3 linked regions of the Canis lupus familiaris genome follow. The protein of the gene in region 1 purifies or fractionates together with the protein of each later gene. This does not show direct contact. Links are inferred from orthologs where the notes say so. Each region holds a gene or a part of one and is shown in the gene's direction. Other genes may lie near its edges. The genes, in order: BPTF, HMGXB4 and SMARCA1.

The links.
Region 2: the proteins of BPTF (region 1) and HMGXB4 fractionate together in Homo sapiens (co-fractionation; 3 studies listed by BioGRID, with this or other methods). This does not show direct contact. The link is inferred for Canis lupus familiaris from reciprocal best matches to the Homo sapiens genes BPTF and HMGXB4.
Region 3: the proteins of BPTF (region 1) and SMARCA1 purify together in Homo sapiens (affinity purification with mass spectrometry; 4 studies listed by BioGRID and IntAct, with this or other methods). This does not show direct contact. The link is inferred for Canis lupus familiaris from reciprocal best matches to the Homo sapiens genes BPTF and SMARCA1.

The regions. Positions count from the first base shown.
Region 1 is NC_049230.1:14,276,325-14,279,980, forward strand, and holds part of BPTF (nucleosome-remodeling factor subunit BPTF), read left to right. Parts: coding exon 1-76; intron 77-3,071; coding exon 3,072-3,251; intron 3,252-3,656. UniProt on the Homo sapiens protein: Regulatory subunit of the ATP-dependent NURF-1 and NURF-5 ISWI chromatin remodeling complexes, which form ordered nucleosome arrays on chromatin and facilitate access to DNA during DNA-templated processes such as DNA replication, transcription, and repair.
Region 2 is NC_049231.1:29,825,112-29,828,767, reverse strand, and holds the end of HMGXB4 (HMG domain-containing protein 4), read left to right. Parts: intron 1-569; coding exon 570-692; intron 693-1,151; coding exon 1,152-1,196; 3' UTR 1,197-1,287; intron 1,288-1,630; 3' UTR 1,631-3,311; downstream 3,312-3,656. UniProt on the Homo sapiens protein: Negatively regulates Wnt/beta-catenin signaling during development.
Region 3 is NC_049260.1:101,628,092-101,631,747, reverse strand, and holds part of SMARCA1 (probable global transcription activator SNF2L1), read left to right. Parts: intron 1-1,846; coding exon 1,847-2,013; intron 2,014-2,324; coding exon 2,325-2,425; intron 2,426-2,527; coding exon 2,528-2,628; intron 2,629-3,656.

The DNA.
Region 1 (3,656 bases):
AAAACTCATGTTTATAGGTTTGTTCCTAAGTTGCCAGGCAATACTAATGTGAATTACAGAAAATCATTAGAAGGAAGTAAGTAATTGAAGTTATTTTTTCTATATCATAATTTCTGATTTTGTACTATTTCTTATAAATTTGTAGTGCATTGACCATATTTTTGGATAAAAGTATTTTTCTGGAATTTTTAATAGAACATGCAAAACTACCGATGTAGCTTATTTATTAATAAGAAGCTCAAATACTTTAAATTACTTTTTTTTTCAGGATATTTATAACTAGGATTTCAATTAAAGAAAGATGATAGAATAGAACTTCCTAAAAAAAAGAAAAAGAAAAAAGGCCTCAGCACCTAATTGTTTTTCTACAATCTTAAATTCAGTATTACTTGACTTCCTAAGGAACCACCTATCTGGTAATCTTGATGTTGTAGCACATTACAAAACCAGAAAGGAGGTGATAGAGACTTCTGTAAACACTTCCACATAAATGAGGGAGATATTAACTCCATTTGTGCTACTCGCTAACAACTAATATATTTAGAGTCACAGAATTCTAGAGGGGAACTGCCCTATTAAGACACCATCTGTTTTGAAACTCACATTCCATGAGTAGATTATTTCATGAAGATGTGAAGTTATGTACAGTTCACACAGATAGAACTCTGGAATCTGTCTCCTCGCTCCCACTGTCCCTCCCACTGTCCTTTTTTGCACTCTACATTGCCATCACTTTTTTGTTACCTGGTTATTTTCAAAAGCAGTTCTGCTCACTGTGCAGTGTAATTTGCTAACGTATGGTGTGATGTGTTCTTTCCTATGAAGTCTACGCTATAGTGAGTACTGTGTACATACCTAGCTAACTAATTTGGCTTCTTCGTGAATGGTTCTGCTGAATCCTGGACTGGTTGAGATATTTGAAATTATTGATGTGATAAAGTTATCATTTTGGATTACCTTTTTAATGGAAAAATACTTATTATTTCATAACTGTCACTGGAATTTATAGGGACTAGGAATGTCTTGCACATAATAGATGCTCAGTGAATTGTTCTATTTGCCAACTAGAACTATTCAATATTAAATTTTATTATTGTGATCTGATTATATTCAAGCCAAATGTCCACTATAATAAATTCTAAAAGATTAACATTTTTTATTGCCATTTTGTTGCTCCAGCTACCCACATAGCACATAGAATTATAGAGAGCTTTTGTTTAATTATATCTGACTTATTTTGTCTTGTGTAATAAAATCCAGATTATCAATAAGCAAAATATTTAGGTTTTTGCAGATTTATCTCATATCCACTTTCCTTAGCATACTGTTTCTATTGTCCAAATTCTGGGCCTTTATCCAGTCAGGTACCAAGTTGGTCTTACAACATCTTTTGAGCCCTTTTCCTCTCCAGTGGTAGCAATGCATGTGTTAGTATAGAATAAGAATTACAGTGAAGGCATTAGTATTCGTAACCACCAGTTTATAATCTCAGAACTATTGGTCCCTATAATAATGATTAACCTAATCTGATCATATGACAGAGGCACAGATGTGCTGGAGAAAACAGAAATGCGTTTCAGGGAACCTTGACTTAGCATCAGAAGACTAGAGTGTTCAGCTTGTTTGACTGCGTCACTTATTTCTAACCTCCATTCTAACTCAGACTGAATGCCTTAGCTTATTAGTTTACAAGTGTCAATAAAGGTACTGATGTGCAAGATTAACAAAGGATATTAATTGTCTTTATGTCTAGAAGATCTTTAATGGAGAAGACATCCCAAGTATTTTATAATTGTCTATTTTAAGCATCTGGGTTCTTAAAACTTTTAGGTGGAACTACTATTATATAAAGCTCTTTTTGAGAAACTTGAAATCATTGAAAAAATATTGCCCAGTTGTTCTGAAATAACTAAAGAAGCATTGAATAAGGAGAGTATCAGTTTACTTTTTGTCCTTTTGTTACTTGTGGGGTCCAGACACATCCTATCACTGTTTTCTATGATTCGTTTCTTCTCTCCCCAGTATCCTACTGTCTTGACAGATACCAAGTTTTTTGCACTCTTTTCCCTTCCCTCAGCTAGATCTTTCTGGAAGGAGTCATTTGTTTAAATAAGAAGTAGGTACACATTGCTAAGTCCTTGGAATATTTGGGATCAAGTGAAGAGAATAATAAAAGGTAGAAAATGCCTGTAAGGCCCAAGAAAATTCACCTGGACAATAGTTCTGTATCATGGGCTTGATTTTTTTTTTTTTTTACCTTACGGAAAATTTGAAACTACACGAAAGTAAAAAAGCATCATCTTTCTGTCATTCTCCTATTAGTTGTAATAATCTACTTTTTTTCTGGAGTTTTTTTCCCCCCCTATGTATTTAGAGCAAATTCCAGAAATTATGTTATCTACCAGTTCAGCATATATCTCTGATTGGAGTGGTTATTCCATAAATTATGCCATTACCATTCAACGCACTAACAATATTTAACATGTCCATCTTGAGATTCTCAGTTACTATTCTAGTTACCCCAGTTGTGCCAGAGATGCCCTTTTAATGTTGGTAGTAAATCAGGTCCAGACAAGGCCAAACATTGCATTTGGTTATTTCTCTGAAGTCTCTTTTAATCTATGATAAATACAGTGATTCCCTACCCAGAAAAAAAAAAGTATACAAACAAACCTTTGTAATTAATTTCACTGGCTCTTAGATAGCCTTGAAGTCTATCCATGGACTCTGGGTGAAAAATACTTAAGTATTTATTTTCCTAATATGGTTCTTTAATATAAAGTATGTTAGAAACACTGATGTAGACTTTGTGGAGTCATTGAGCAGCTGAAATAGTGTCATATATGAAAGATCCTGAAGTACATCTAAAATGTGCTCATTCCTCTTATGCTTTAGGTCAGTTGAGCATGTTAGGAAAGTATATACTATCTTCAGGTTTTATATTTTTTTAATAGAAAACAGTATAGATTGCTAGAAATATAATTTCCACTGAACTAGATTTGTTAAAGCAGATTGCTAATGTTCAGAATACCTATAATTATATATATATACACACACTCAATTCTTTTTAGCCAAAAATAATGTGGATGAAAATATGGATGAATCAGATAGACGAAAAAGTCCACGGAGTCCAAAAAAAATAAAAACAGAGCCTGATTCTGAGAAAGGCGAGGTAAAAGATTCAGATGCTGCAAAAGGGGCAGACCAAAGTGAAATGGACGTTTCCAAGATTACTGAGAAGAAGGACCAAGGTAAGGAGAGTCCGGTGTGGAGGGCAGCCTGGGGGTGATAAGATTGTAATGGATCTGGTTCGCACAGCAGGAGAGGTACTGCCTTATGTTTCTTTAATAGCAGCTTTATTGAATCACAGCTCATTTACTATATAACTAACCCATTTAGAATGTACAGTGGTTTTTAGTATTTCACAGAGCTGTTCAGCTGTCACCACAGTCCATTTTAGAACATTTTCACCACCCCAAAAATAAACTTCATACTCCTTAGTACCCAGTTTCTAATCCTCCCTAAATCCCCCCAGCCTACTAGTCTACTTACTGTCTCTATGGATTGGCCCTATTTTGGATATTCTGTATGAATGGAATCACGTAATACATGGTCTTTTGTGACTTGGTGTAATGTTTTCAGGATTCACCCATGTT
Region 2 (3,656 bases), on another chromosome or scaffold:
CCAGAGCAGGATAGGCACACTGGCAGCAAGTACTCTTATTTCTTACCTGTTTGAATCACAGGGGGAGAAACATTGTGAGTTGTGCAAGATGTTAAAATTTGAAGTGAACCTGATTCACTTCTTTCTGAGAGTGAACAACTCAACCCAGAAAAGTTGTATCATCAGCTATCAGAAACCACATACGTGGAGAAGTACACATATGTTTACGTTAAATGTTAGCATGTAGGGCTGTAGAACTCTCATAGTTAGCACATTTGAGCTATATTCGTGGAGTTGCACACATGACCTCCACAAATCTTCCCAGGAGCTTTCCAGAGTAGATTGATTTAAGTCATAACCCTTCGTTGCACAGAGGGTAAGATGAGTTAGGAACATAGAAAAGGAACCTGGGAAGGTATTGTAAAAGTTTTCTTTTTAAAGGATTCACAGAGTTATCAAAGCAGATAACTTCCATTTCTGCTGCAAATTGCAGAGAACTAGCAAGACTTAAAAAACAATGTGAAGAAACCAACTCGATCAGGAGTGGGACTCGAGTTACAACCTGCTGTCTCTTCCTGCTCTCCTTTCAGGGCATGGTGGCTGTGTCTGGCAGTTTGTCAGTGCTTCTGGATTCCATTATCTGTGCGCTTGGACCCTTGGCGTGTCTGACCACACAACTACCTGAACTGAACGGCTGTCCCAAACAGGTCTTGGTGAGTTTTCCTTGTTTTCCTTGGATTTTTTTCAGCCAGACCCCTTGGGAGCCGTCGAGGCCCTACCTTAACGAGCTCTATCAGGCACAGGCTTGTAAGGCTTCCCGGCAGATGGCGCCCCCTCTGTATATTGGCCCACGAATGTGGTACTGTACAGTGCCCTCAGTGCAACTAGAAAACAGGCCATTTCCCAAAACAGTCCAGCCCTTAGGGAGCTGCAGCTCCTCTGGTGCCTATCTTCTCCTCTACCCAAAGAAAGTACACAAGTCTTCTGCATCTCCACAAGGGTTCATGGGAAGAGCCAGCAGAGAAGCTCCTAGCATAGTAGACAGCAGTGTGCCAGCTTTTAGCTCACACTGCTCTCTCCAACTCTCAACTCCCTCCTCTGAACAGAGAACTAGGCCTCAGGGAACTAAGGGTAAAGTACTCTTCAGCTAAACCTTTTCCCTTGTTTTGCAGTCAAACACACTAGACAACATTGCTTACATCATGCCTGGACTGTGACCACAAAGAGTCCCGGGACAGAGACCTTATCGTCCTCCATTGCTGGTTTGTGTATATATGACTGTTCCAGATCCTTCACTGGCCTCTGGGTGTAGGTTTTAAATTTTTATATATATACATATAAATATATATATATATATATATATATATAAAGTGTACAATATATACATAGGACTGTAATTACTTTGCTTTTAATAATTTTATGAAATGGCAAAGGTTTAGCCAAGAAGAAACCTTGGCATGAATATGGGCTTGGGATTCCTTTTTCTCCTGTGGTGGATAAATCTGCCTTAAAAATCAATGTAACTTAGGGGCTGGGGGCTTGTTCAGGGTGCCAAGGGCATCTCTTTATGGACAGCTAAAATGTGATTTTTTTCCAAACTCAGTTGTACCTCCAGACCCATCACTGACCATTTGCCTTACCTGTCTTACAGTCGGAAATGTAATAGGAAAGATTATGGGAAGATGCCAGTTGAGTGAACGTACAAAGCCTTTCAACTTGAAGTGACCTAGGTAGGAAGTGATGAAATCATTCCCATCTTACAGTTACTGCAGTGGCTTAGGTGAACTTCGTAGGGGGTTCATTCCAATTCCTGCTATACCGGTGTCCATGTCTCAAAATTTCTTGTAATCATTGGTACCATTAGCAGCCTCAGTAGGGGCCAAGGAGTTATGTGAGCCCCAGCAGCATAAAACACCTTGGAGAGTGTAAAGCTGTTACTGCACAAATTGAACTGCATATATTGTGAGCTGACCCAGAATATTTCATCTGTAGAGCTAACTGCTGGTATCTTCCATCGGCAGCATTAGCTTAGGCACGGAGTCCTCACAGGTTTTTGCTGCTTAGTTGCTTGATGGTTGGGAAAGATGAACTTTGCCCAGCATGATTCTTGGGTTCATCCTGTTGGCTCGCCTGGTGGGCAGATAGATACCCAGTGTTCTGCATTCCACACATAAGTGAATTGCAAAAAAAGTACTCGATTCTCATGTAGGTTTATTTATGTGTGCGTGTGAATGTGTGTTTTAATTATGTGTATTTAACTCTTTAAAATCTCTTTGATTTTAATTTATCCTGTAAATTTCTGTATATATAATTTAATAACAAAAGCCTCCACCAGCAACAGCATGTGGAAGATACAGATTTGTCATTTCTTGCCTCCTCCTTTCCTCTGGTCTCCTCTGAAAACTCCAAATCATCTACATTTTAAGGTATCGTGCCTCAAAAAGGAATCATTATGCCGGGATTCTAATTCTTTCTAATTCAATAATGTCAAGAAAGCAAAATTAAAAGGAATGTTACCATTCCCAACTCCCCACTTTTCCAAAGAACCAGACTTGTGTTTCCCAGTTCCAAAGAAGACAGTTGAGCACTTCAGGGTTGTTTTTCAATTTGGTGTGAGATTCCCTGCCAAAACCGAGCTCTGGTAACTGCTTTCTTCCCCTGGCCTAGACAGAGCACTACCATGTCAAAGTAGATCTTTGAGTACTGAGCAGCCAGCCTGCACCTGACTTAACCCCTTCCCTTCTCCCCACCAGTGTGCTCATGGGGCTTTGTTTCCTGAAGGTACTCTGGCTGCTGACTGGCCCTTAGCTCAGAGCAGTCATGAAGCTTAACTGGGGAAACAGAAGGAAACGGGTATGTTTGGGAACCAAAATCAAGAAGGAGCAGAAAACTGGATTTGATTTCGCTTGTTAGACCCTGTGCCACACCTCATCTGTACCAATGGAAGTTTCCTGTTTGACCCAGGGTCTATCAGGGAGGGGCCTGGAAGACATGGATTAGCATGGAAGAAGTCAGTCCTACCCTTGTCATTTGTGCACATTAATGAAATCCTGATGAGGACCTGCTTTCTGTTTGTTTGTTTTCCTTTCAAACCCAACCCTACTGTATTTGTATTTAAATTTGTACACATTTGTATAATAATCTGTACCTTGTGGTATTTGGTACTATTAGAGGAAAAACTTTGGATTCAGACCTTCTTGGAGTTTTTATATCATTGTTTTATTTTGTTTTTTAAATAAATTCTAGCGGTTTGATCCAAATCCCATTACAGTTGTATAAAGAAATAAAATTTTGTACTTATATTATTAAAAATCACATTTTTAATATTTGTAGTCCAGTCTCAGGTATCTTTTCCCTGTTGCTGACCAAGTTGCTGTGAAATACTAAAACCTGTCATTTTCTACTGATATCCCACTGCGATTTTCTTAAAAAGAAAAATCTGTCTGGAATGAGGCCAAGTTTCTGATCTTAGCCATTTTCCTTTTTAAAAAAAAAAAAGATTTTATGTATTTATTCATGAGAGACACACACAGAGAGAGAGACAGAGACACACAGGCAGAGGGAGAAGCAGGCTCCATGCAGGGAGCCCGATGTGGGGACTGGATCCTCGGATTCCAGGATCACACCCTGGGCCAAAGGCAGGCGCCAAACCACTGAGCCACCCAGGGACCCCCTTA
Region 3 (3,656 bases), on another chromosome or scaffold:
AGAAATTAACAGGTAGTTGGAACTGATCTTTTTTTTGAGGGGTTGTTTTTGCAGGAACATTATAAAAATAAGTAGAGATGAAGGATATTTTTTAGTTGTTCATAGTGATTTTACCAAACTCCCTGCCTAAATGTCTAAGGTCACATCTAACGTAGACAGTTAATGTTTTAACAACTCTAAAAACAACATTCCAGTGAGGATAACATAAAATGGAAAGGTTTTGGCCTCCTTCCAGCTTCTGGTCTGAATATATTTGTCTAATTCTTGTGTTTATGTTAATGAACCCTTGTACATTTCTGGTGTTATTAATTATGCATCCTTCATTAGCAATCAAATATTCTCTACCCTGTGGTCAGAAAGTGATTGGGAATTAAAAAATCATTCTCATTTTTTTAAATCTAAAATGATGTATATATCTTTTGACCTTCTAAGGTTTTATAGTGAAGTTTTATTTTATTATTATGGTACAAGTTATATGCCCTTTTACAATTTATTGAGAAATTATTATATGTGCTGCCGAAGTGAGCAGAATTGAGAAATTATAATACATACCAATTTTTAGTAGTTAATATATATTAACTATTATACTTATATGTGTATGTGTATGTTTTTCCCCCAAATCCTGCTTGCTTTGAAGACAAACTTTTTATGTTATTAGCATAAGGTGCAGTTTTCCAGGGGCACCTGGGTGGCTCAGTCAGTTAAGCATCTGACTTTGCCTGACATCATGATATTGGGGCCTAGGGATCAAGCCCCATATTGGGCTCTTTGCTTGGCAGGGATTATGCAAGTCCCTCTGCCCCTCTCCCCACTCTTGTGTGCTCTTTCTCTCTCAAATAAGTAAAATCTTTTTAAAACGTGTGATTTGGGATGCCTGGGTGACTCAGCGGTTGAGCATCTGCCTTTGGCTCAGGGGTCCCAGATTGAGTCCCGCATCAGGCTCCTTGCAGGGAGCCTGTTTCTCCCTCTGCCTGTGTCTCTATCTCTGTGTGTCTCTCATGAATAAAAATCTTTAAATAAATAAAAAAGTGCAATTTTCCAGATCATTGTAATTGAAGAGAGAAATATTTATTACATTATTGTACCATGCATTGACAATATTTATAGACAAGAAGACACTGTATTCTAAGGTGTTAATTGTATCTAGATGCAATTTGAAAAGTCTAAGAGTTCAGTTAATGGTATATGTATATCATAGCTAATAATTTATATTTCTGTATTTAGGATATATCGTATGTTATGATGCTTTATTTTGTTCACTTGGGAGAAGAAAATCATTACATTTTACTTATTTATTTAAAGATTTATTTATTTATTCATGAGAGACACACAGAGAGAGGCAGAAACACAGGCAAAGGGAGAAGCAGGCTCTTCGCAGGAGCCTGATGCGGCGGGACTTGATCCCGGATCCTGGGATCACGACCTGAGCCGAAGACAGCCGTCTAACCGCTGAGCCATCCAGGCATCTCTAAATCATTACGTTTTAGAAAAAGTTTTTGCTTTTTGACCCTGACTCTTTAAGCAGGGTACTTCTTGTTGGGGCATTTACTACTGTTAGATCATTTGGCTTCTATTCAAATTATCTGAAAATGCCATTTTTGAATTCTGCTGTTTACTAGCTATGGGAATTTGGACAAGTTAGTTACTCTCTCCATATTTTACTTTTATCATCTGTAAAATGTAGATAATATTAGTACCTACCTCATAAGTTTATTAAGACCATTAAATGAGTTAATATGTTGAAAGTGTTGAGAACATAGTACAAAGTAAGGGCAATATAAGTATTTGTTAAATAACTTTGAGTAAAAAAGAAAATCATTATTTTTTCTTTTGTTTTGTATGTTAGAAAGCAGACCGAGCAAAGAGATTTGAATTTTTATTAAAGCAGACAGAACTTTTTGCACATTTTATTCAACCTTCAGCACAGAAATCTCCAACCTCTCCTCTGAACATGAAGTTGGGACGTCCTCGAATAAAGAAAGATGACAAGCAAAGCTTAATTTCTGCTGGAGAGTATGTTGGCATCTCTCTCTACTTTATTCCCTCTTTTTTCCCTCCCTTCCTTCTGTCCCCACTTCTCCCTCTCCTCTCATTCCCTCTTTGCTTACTGAGTATAATTTTGTATTAAAAATGGGGTTATTGTCAATGTAAATAAGTTTTGGAGGCAACAATTTTTTCTCACTAGGAATCAGTAAAAATGCAGGCTGGTTCTACCAACTTCTAAGCAAGACCTTAGATAACTCATTTTTTTCATGACAGATATACTGACTTAATTGATAGCTTAGTATTTGAGTTGAGTATAAAGATATTTCTTTTCAATTCAGCTACCGTCACAGGCGCACAGAACAAGAAGAAGATGAAGAGCTCCTCTCAGAGAGTCGGAAAACATCTAATGTCTGTGTTAGATTCGAGGTATCACCTTCATGTAAGTATCTCATTGCGTTGGTGTTTTTTTTCAATTAGGTTTTAGAAAAATATTCTTGATTGTATTTAACAAAAGTATGAAACGTCTTGATCTCTTTTTCAGATGTGAAAGGAGGACCACTGAGAGATTATCAGATTCGAGGGCTGAACTGGTTGATCTCTCTGTATGAAAATGGAGTCAATGGTATCTTGGCAGATGAAATGGTAAGGAGTTGATAGCTAAAAACACAATCTTAGTAATGATTTTTATGTAAATTTGAAATACCTGAGCTGTATTGCCTTAGGCTTAGAGTCTAATTGCTTTATTTAGTTAGAATGTAAAGGGCATTTGTAAACTCTAGAACTGTTTCTTTAAATAACCTTGAGAACATATACTTTCACAGGCTACAAAATTCTTAGTGTGATTTGCTTATAGGTTTAAAAAACCTCCCTGTAATTTTGATTTTGTTTGCACTTTGGCTTCCAGGAAACTCAGAGCCAGAATTAATGCCAAAATCGAGCCCCTGTGGAATGTAATGGCAGGCCCATTGTGTCTTTTGTGCCTTTTTCTATTCTATATCTTCTAATCTTTTCTTGGCCCTTCTTTATTTCTATTTTACCATTAATTTATCTTCCATGTTTTCATTGTAGGCTACCTGAAACATATTTTCTTTGTAGGTGACCTGAAATCCTTTTGGTAGTAAAGTGGGGGTATATAAAGTAAATACTAAATGTGTGAATGAATAAATCGAACAATAAATGATGAAAGCATGAATCAATGAATGTAAGAACCTCAATGCGTGAGCAGTCAGAAAGTGAATAGATAGAATAATGAAAAAAAGTAAAGAGCAATGTTGAGTCCTGATGTAGCATAGTGCCAGATAGAGCCTGAGAAGTAAGCTAAGGAATGATGGTCATATAAATAAAATGACCAAAGAAAGAAAGAAAGGCTATTTAAGATGCTGATTCCACCAGATCAGGGAGTATATGAAGGCTTAGATTGGTATTTTAAGACCAAATGAATAAGATAGGATTTAAGAGAGGGCAGGGGGGCAGTTCTAGATCTTTATGACCCAGTGATATTCATATTTATGTGACTCTGGAGCCATATTTGCTATCACTCTTACCCAGAAGAGCCACATGACTATTTATGTTCTATAACATGTAGTGTAGTAGTTGGTCCCATAGATGCTGGGCAACCGTTAGCTGTGTGGCAAGAGGTCCTTTAAATCAAGGGTCTGTAGCTCCTTATA